Ovis aries: one gene and its partner. The protein of the gene in region 1 purifies or fractionates together with the protein of each later gene. This does not show direct contact. Links are inferred from orthologs where the notes say so. Each region holds a gene or a part of one and is shown on either strand. Other genes may lie near its edges.

Region 1 (3,813 bases):
TTAGAGTATTGCCTTCTTTCGTAATACAATGGAGCTTTTTTTTTAACACAAACTTAAAATTTTTGGATGAAGATGTTATCTAACGGTTGTTCTATGATTTTACAGTTTATCAAGCATTTTGACTTCCTTTCTCTCTCTTACATTTTATAACGTGGTGGGGAAGAAAGTTTTCCCTGAGCTGCATGCCTCTTCTCCTGGGACTGTAGTAGTCAGGGCTAGGTTTACCGTTTTTTCTCCTGCTAAAAACTGGGTTCTTAATTTGGGAGTGGGAGGGTACTCTGGATGATGTAGAGAAAAGGAAGGAAAATTATATGGGTGCGTGACCCTCACTCTTTCTTCCCCGGTACCTGGTCCCTCTCGTGCCCTCAATGCAGTGCTCATCAGGGTGGGGTGGACCGACCGGGGTGTCGCGACGGTGGGAGGAGGTGGGCGAGAGTGGGGCGTGCTCTGGCCGGTTGGCCGCCTACCTCAGCCACAGCCCCAGCGCACCGGGCCTTGTGAGGACTTCTCGACAGGCTGGCTTATGAAGCGTGTGCGTATTTGCTCTTACAGTTACGCACGTATTCAAACTGTTTTTTAGGGGATCTGCTCCAGGTCTGTTATTCCTGGGGCCGGCCATCACCACAGCAGGAGTGTTTCCTTTGTACTTCTTTACGACTTAGAAGTCATCTTCTTCTGAAAGAGGTTTTTAAGATATTAATCTTTGAAAATATGCTTTTGTGATTCTCCATAGAGCTTTGTTTCAGTACCTAGTAATCTTGTCATTTTGCTGATGGTTTGAGCCGAGCCCTTGGCCACAGTGACTGAACTGCACGCTTTTTATTGGCCACGCTTCATTTCAGGGATTTTTGAGATGAATTTTTTTAGGGGTGTCTCATCTTCTTTTTCCTTCTTATTACTTCATGGAAAAAAGCCATTTAAAAGTCTTTCTGATTTTATTTATTTGTATGCATGCCAAATTTCTTAGGGAATGTTGTTTGAATTCTGTTTTGAATCATGTAAATACTCAATGTGGTAACTGAGGAGAAGCATGCAGTGCAGGCTCTCTGACTATAGGAACATCCCTCATACAGACGTTCGTTTTTGGGTTGTCATGATGATTGTAGACATGATGGAAAATAATATTACTAACTTGATACTAGAAAGTAGAGGAATTTATCTAGGAAATGTTTTAATGAGGTGACTAAAAACAGTTTTTGTCTACCTACTATACAGCATGTCTGTTAAACTGATAAATAAGCCAGTTGTCTTTGTTTGTTTTATGTAAGGTAAAATGTTAAATTTATAATTTTACTTTAAAAGTGAATTTACTCCATGTATACAGTTTTACTTTTAAAGTAAATTTATATCACAAATGCAATGTATTTGTAAGACTTAAAGTTGAATATAGTTTGCTTTAACTGCAATAAGTATACTTTTAAGTAGTGGTAATCTGGTCATAGGCGATTAATCTGACAATTCGATTATTAGAAAAGTCTTGAGAATGTGAAGTTGGTTAGCTGTTTGCTCTTTCCCGCAGTGGTTTGGTAACCTGGTGACAATGCAGTGGTGGAATGATCTGTGGCTGAATGAAGGCTTTGCTACATTCATGGAGTATTTCTCTTTGGAAAAAATATTCGGAGAGCTCTCCAGTGTAAGTACGCTGTTTGTTAGGCCTCCTGTGAATGCCAGGAAGAAAAATAGTCCAATCATACTGGACATGTATTTTCCATGCATTTGGAGCAATGAAAATATTTCTAGAAAAATACAATAAAACTGACTTGTTACTGATCTCTATACCTCTTGAGATTTGACAGTGAAAATTGTGCTTTTAGTTACTGATGGATTTCAGAAAGCAGAAATAATGTGAAATTATTTTATACTTTGTCATTAAGATGAACATTTCAAATTGCTTTGCTAAATTCTGTGTTTAATAGATGTGGCCCTTCTGCTTTAAGGAATTTAGATAGAGTTGGAAAGCATTTTTTTTTATTTGCAAAACAAAACTTTTTATACTCCTTATAGAGAAGAAATGAAGACATTTTGTGGCAATGCTATTATCACTGTGATCATTCTTACAACAGTGATACACAGCGAGACAAATAATTTGCTCTTTTTAGGTCCAAACCATATTTTGTGCCCGTTTCAAAGCCGTGGAACCCCATTCTGTTACAGAGAGCATGATGATGTTGTTACTGTGTTCTTAGACTCTCCGGAGATGTTTCTTCTCCTTAGAGAGATTTGGACATACTAAGTCCTATATGGGGGGAGGGCATGGCAACCCACTCCAGAATTCTTGCCTGGAGAATCCCCATGGACAGAGGAGCCTGGCGGGCTACAATCCATGGGGTTGCAATGAGTCAGACACGACTGAGCGACTAAGCACGCAGCATAGGTCATACATGACAGATATTGTGGAATAATTCAAGCAGTAAATGGAAAAGTATAAGAATCCGTTTCTACTATAGAATTCTGTGACTTTCTATTAAGCTTCTTGACTGTATGATCCAAAAGTGCTTCAAAAGATGAGTACTCTCAGAGCTTTCAGTTTGAAATTTTTGTGTAGGGCCTATTCAAAGATTTCAAATGGTAAAATGAAGTCAGTTTAAGCTTGAATATTAATAAGCAAAGTAATGTAAATCTGGGTATGGGTCTTAATTAAACAAAGAGATATACAGTTTCACCACTTGGTGGTGCCCAGAATGTTTAAAAGCTTTTAGTATATATTCTAGAGGAACTGGTCTGTTGAACTCTCAGACTCCTTTCTGTTTAAGACTTATATTTTACTTAAGAATAGCCTCAGTCAAGGGAAATGTATATTATCTCAATAGAAAAGCTGGATTATGTATGAGAAATCAACTTAAGGAGCAGTTCCTTTTTTTTTTTAATTTAAGATTTTATTTTACAAATATTCACTAGCCATTTCTAAATAATCATTTGAACAACTGGATTTAGCATATGGTCGCTTTAGTAATAAACTCTTAATGTATCCTTGTGTTGTTGTTTAGGGAACACTGATTTTTGTGGAAGTTGTAATTTTATTTTCAAATTTAACAAATATGCATAAATGTCACATTCTTCCTATATCTTCAACAGATTATTTCTAAAGTTTAGTGAAGCTAGTTGATTTTTTTTATAATGACCTTAAACAGTAATTAGTCTAATTCCTATCAATAATTACTAAACTTGCCTCTGTCTTTAATACTGTTCACAGTTTCTTTATTCTGTTTCATTTTTTGTAGTATGAAGATTTCTTAGATGCTCGATTTAAAACAATGAGAAAAGATGCGTTGAATTCATCCCATCCAATATCATCATCATCTGTTCAGTCTTCAGAACAGATTGAGGAAATGTTTGATTCTCTTTCCTACTTTAAGGTATTGCCATGCACAAAAAGTACCTGGAGTGGGTTACAAATTAATTTCATATGAAAGCAAGCTGACTGATTTAGATTGTTTTAAAGACTAGACAAGTATTATTTTCAATTTTCCTGTTAATTTTTAAGATGTTTGCTTCTACTTAAATCTTGATCTTAACTTGATCTAGGTTCTTCTTTCTTTCTCTGTCTCTTAAGTTCTCTAACTAGTATTCTGGCTAGTTAACCAGATCTTACAGTAATAGATCTTTTAAAGTTGGATAACTGTCCAGATCTACAGGTGGAATATGTCCAGGGGAGGCTCTAAGCCTTTGGCTGTGTCATTCAGGACTGAAGTGTGTTCCAAAGTCAGAATTGCCAAAACAGGTAGACAAAAGGAGATTTTTACGAATCAAAGACTCTATTGTAGAATTAGAAACCTAGACTGCAGGTTTGGAAGTAAAGCAAAAACAGAAATT
Region 2 (4,465 bases), about 93 Mb from region 1:
ATGTATGGTTGTGAGAGCTGGACTATAAAGAAAGCTGAGCACCGAAGAATTGATACTTTTGAACTATGGCACTGGAGAAGACTCTTGAGAGTTCCTTGGATTGCGAGGAGCTCCAACTAGTCAATCCTAAAGGAAATCAGTCCTGAATATTCATTGAAAGGACTGATGCTGAAGCTGAAACTCCAATACTTTGGCCATCTGATGCGAAGAACTGACTCACTTGAAAAGACTCTGATATTGGAAAAGATTGAAGGCGGGAGAAGGGGATGACAGAGGATGAGATGGTTGGATGGCATCACTGACTCAATGGACATGATTTTGAGCAAGCTCAGGGAGTTGGTGATGGACAGGGAAGCCTGGTGTGCTGCAGTCCATGGCGTCGCAGAGTCGGACAGGATTGAGCAAGTGAACTGAAAAAACTGGGGGTGTGTGTGTGTGTGTGTGTGTGTGTGTGTGTGTGTGTGTGTGTGTCTGCGCGCACGCACGCTTGCTAAGTTGCTTCAGATCTGTCCAACTCTGTGCAATGGAGTGTAGCCTGCCAGGCTACTCTGTCCATGGGATTCTGCAGGCAAGGATACTGAAGTGAGTTGCCATGCCTTCCTCCAGCCGATCTACTGGACCCAGGGATGAAACCAGGCCTCTTAGTCTCCTGCACTGGCAGGCTGGTTCTTTACTGCTGTCATGACCTGGGAAGCCAATGGTAGTTGCTACATTTACCAAATACAGTTTTTTTTCACCCTACCATTCAGCCTTTGGGTATCCAAACAAATGGACGACAGAAACCAGGACACATAAAGGTCTAAAAAAACCCACAGACCATTTCAATTTTCTGAGGTTCTCAGCATATTCAAAACTGAAAATATGCTCAAAGTGAATTACAAAACTTGCGGTGTGTTTGAAATCTTTCCATCGCACCATCTTTTTCTCTCAATATTGTCAGTGTGTCTCTGTGCCCTTTCTGTATAATTTTACTGAGGAAAACATCACAAATTGAAAACTGAAATAAACCTGCAGCGTAGTACTGCGGACTGTATTTGAGCTTGGGTAACAAGGTGGCCTCAGGCTGCTGGGCCTAGAGCAATGACACTGCAGGAACCGCGGCGCCTGCTTACACAGCGCAGTGCAGTCGACTTTAGGCCGGAGCGAGGGAGCCGTTGGCGCTGGGCACTCGCTGCATCGGGGGCAAGGCCCTTCCCGATGGTTCACCAGACTTCCCATCCCTCCTTGCCAGCTGACATCTGACCTCCAACGAAGGGAACGGAGTGCCAGACTCCGAGGCCCGGGTCTAGGCACAGAAGGTGTGCGAACCACAGACACAGAGCGAGATGCAACTCTTGGAAGCGCGCCCACTAAGGAACCAGCGCAACCGCGCGCGGGAACTCCTGAAGGGCTGGTCCCGCCACAGGGCGCGCGCGCCCGGGAGTATTCCTTTCCGCCCCAGCCCGCCCCCTTCCGTACCGCCCAACCAACGGCCACTTCCTGCCTCACTCCCAGCCAATCCCCACGCTCCACGAAGAATAGCCCTAGGGGGCGTAAGGGAAAGTCCTCAGAGCGATGGTCGCACTGACCAATTGAATTCAGAAGCTGGCGCGGGGGCGCTGGCCTTGGCGCTAGCTGTAGCTACTCAGGAGCGAGGGGCGGGCGCAGGGCCGGGCTTCGTGCTCTGGGGCTAGCTCGCGCGGCGGCAGCGGGAGTCAAGGCCTCTTGGTGCTGCGGCACGTGACGGTCGTGCGGCTTCAGCTGCTGCGCTGCCTCGGCGGCTGTGTTCTCTGCGGCGCGGGGCCGGTTGTGCGGGTGGGAGCAGGCGAGGGCGCCACCGGCCGTCCCGCTGAGGCTCGAGGTGAGACGGGAGGCCTGCTTGTGTTCGGGCCTGCGAGGACTCTTGGGGGCCTGGATGCGCGGCGCCGCCACCGGGGGCCTGGAGAGCCGGGCGTGGCCGGGGCCGTGGGGTCCGGCTGGGTTTCGAAAGCTCAGGCCCAGTCTGGCGCTCCGGCCGTGTGGTGTGAGGCCGGGACCTGGGCCGCTTGAGTCAGGGAGCCAGGCCCAGGCCGCGCCACCGGGGTCGGGAGGCGTGGCAGGTGCCTTAGAACCTCCTTTGACCTCTGAGAAAGCTAACTTCTCCTTCTGGCTTTGCTTCTAGGGCTTTCTTAAGCCTATTGCTGGCTACCTGTGAAGCTGGGAAGTGCCCGGAGTAACTGGGTAAAGGTCTGGAATAGGATCGGGCCTAGTCGATGTCCCTTGTAGTGGGGAAGAGTTGATAGTGGGCCGAGAGAGAATATTTAGCATTAGAGGTTCAGTATTTGAAAGTTAAAATCACAGAGTGAAGAGTGGAGTATGGAGAATGTGCTAGAACACGCAGGGGCTGGAAAACTTAGGCCCTGACATTTAATTATATCTCTTCATGGATGAGGAGAAAGTAATCTCGTTTGTAAATTCACAAAGACTGGCAGGAAAGCACCCGAAAGCTCTCTGGGCAAGTCATTTTATAGTGGAGGAAACTTGAGGCCCAGAGCTCTGAAATGATTGGCTCAAGGTCATGGGCTTAATTTTATGATCACGTTGGAGTTTTAGTTGAGGCAGTTTTGATGGTTAAGGCTAAGGCCCTGGTTCAGGTCGTTAATCTGTCGTTTGTTGCTATATGAACTTAGGCAGTTTACTTCTCTGTACCCTACTTCTCTCCAAATAATGGATATAAAATCTGATGGTGGTGGGGTTAGAACTAAAGTGAAGTGAAGTCACTCAGTCGTGTCCGACTCTTTGCGACCCCGGGGACTGTAGCCTGCTCAGGCTCCTCTGTTCATGGGATTCTCCAGGCAAGAATACTGGAGTGAGTTGCCATTTCCTTCTCCAGGGGATCTTCCCAACCCAGGGATTGAACCTGAGTCTCCTGCATTGCAGGCAGACGCTTTATCCTCTGAGCCACTAAACTGTGTATAAAAAAGGACAGGAGAGACTTTGACTACTTGATAGATGATTTAAATAAATTAAGGCCTGAGTGATGTTGGTCCCCTACATCAACATCCTCCTTTTTGAGTTGGTTAAGTTCTGGGACCTGAAGTCACCTTAATGGATACAGGAGGAAGAAACTGGACTTAGTGGATTAACTGCTGGGTATGACACAAGTGAATGCTGGCTGGAGGAAGTTAAACTGAGCTGAATATTAAAAGCTTGGGGGGACAAAGGTGAGCCACAGTTAGGTTTCTTTACCTCTGAGTTAGGAAATGGAACACTTTGCTTAGTTTTTTAAATAAGAATTAGTGGGCGGGAGGATTTGTTTTGTTTCGGGTTTTTTTTAAAAGGGAGGAACTGTATTGATCTTTAAGATCATTCTGTATGTCAGTCTTTTAACAGCCATGTTTAAGTGCCATGAATAGAATCACTGCGGAGTTGTCCATTTGCTGTAGTAAGAGCAGAGGTAGAGAATTGTGTGGGAGTTCTGTGCAGCACCCCAAGCAAACAAGTCAGGGAACTGGATTATGAGATGGCCAGAATGAACGGTGTACTGGAGTAAATGTGCGGCGCAGCAAGCGCATTTCCTGACCTGTCTGATAATGAGTGTCAGTATCTCCCTACCTGACTATCTTAACTCAACAGTTTCAACTAGCACATTATCTTCCAAGGACCTTGAGGGGTAAACGTTTTGACAGAGGTTGTTGCTGCAGTTTTGGCAATCATGCTCTTGCATCCTTTCAGTTACAGAGTTCACTTTGCCCTGAGAGATAGCTTAAGGGGATGAAGTGAGAGTTGGTAAGCAGAAATGCAGGCTGGAGCCTGAATTCCAGGCCCAGCGAGGTAACTAGCATAATGAACAACATTAGTTTCCATATCTTTAAAACGCAGTGCCCAGGATACCTTACCATTAGGGATCTTTTAGGAGAGACAGATAAGATGGTGAACAGGAAACTGCTTTGAATGGAGTAATGAACTATGCAAGTAGAAGAATTGGCAGCTCATAACAACTCCTAGGAAATAATAACAGTGCCTGCACATAGTTACAACCTGTACAGCTCACTGTAGAACTTTGTCAGAGTGCTTTGTTAACTATAACAGTAGAACTTTGTCAGAAAAGTGCAGGCTGAGTGCTTTGTTAACTATAACAGATGATTTTTAAATTAAGCTTAACTGTGAAAATTATTTGGAGAATTTAATTTTTTTAAGTAACTTAGAATCTTCAGTAATGTTTTGGGAATCCACGTTTTAAATCCACTTAGTTTATACAAAAAAGGAAAGTGCTATGGGAAGATACATTTTAATGTTCCTGTCAATGAAAAGCAAAATTCAGAACTGAACTAGGCAGTGTACATCTATTTTTTTAGTGGATGAGCATTTACAGTAAGGACCCCTTTGAGTTTTCTGTACTTCCCTCCCACTATTAAGTGCTTTGATGTTGTGGCTAGATGTAATCCAGAGGAATGAAAAGTAGTAGTAAAATGGTTATCTGTGACTGGAGTCAAATTCTTTTGAA

What was found.
Region 2: the proteins of LNPEP (region 1) and CANX purify together in Homo sapiens (affinity purification with mass spectrometry; 3 studies listed by BioGRID and IntAct, with this or other methods). This does not show direct contact. The link is inferred for Ovis aries from reciprocal best matches to the Homo sapiens genes LNPEP and CANX.

The regions. Positions count from the first base shown.
Region 1 is NC_056058.1:94,053,588-94,057,400, forward strand, and holds part of LNPEP (leucyl-cystinyl aminopeptidase), read left to right. Parts: intron 1-1,519; coding exon 1,520-1,633; intron 1,634-3,221; coding exon 3,222-3,356; intron 3,357-3,813. UniProt on the Homo sapiens protein: Release of an N-terminal amino acid, cleaves before cysteine, leucine as well as other amino acids. Degrades peptide hormones such as oxytocin, vasopressin and angiotensin III, and plays a role in maintaining homeostasis during pregnancy.
Region 2 is NC_056058.1:1,408,579-1,413,043, reverse strand, and holds the start of CANX (calnexin), read left to right. Parts: upstream 1-1,658; 5' UTR 1,659-1,840; intron 1,841-4,465. UniProt on the Homo sapiens protein: Calcium-binding protein that interacts with newly synthesized monoglucosylated glycoproteins in the endoplasmic reticulum. It may act in assisting protein assembly and/or in the retention within the ER of unassembled protein subunits.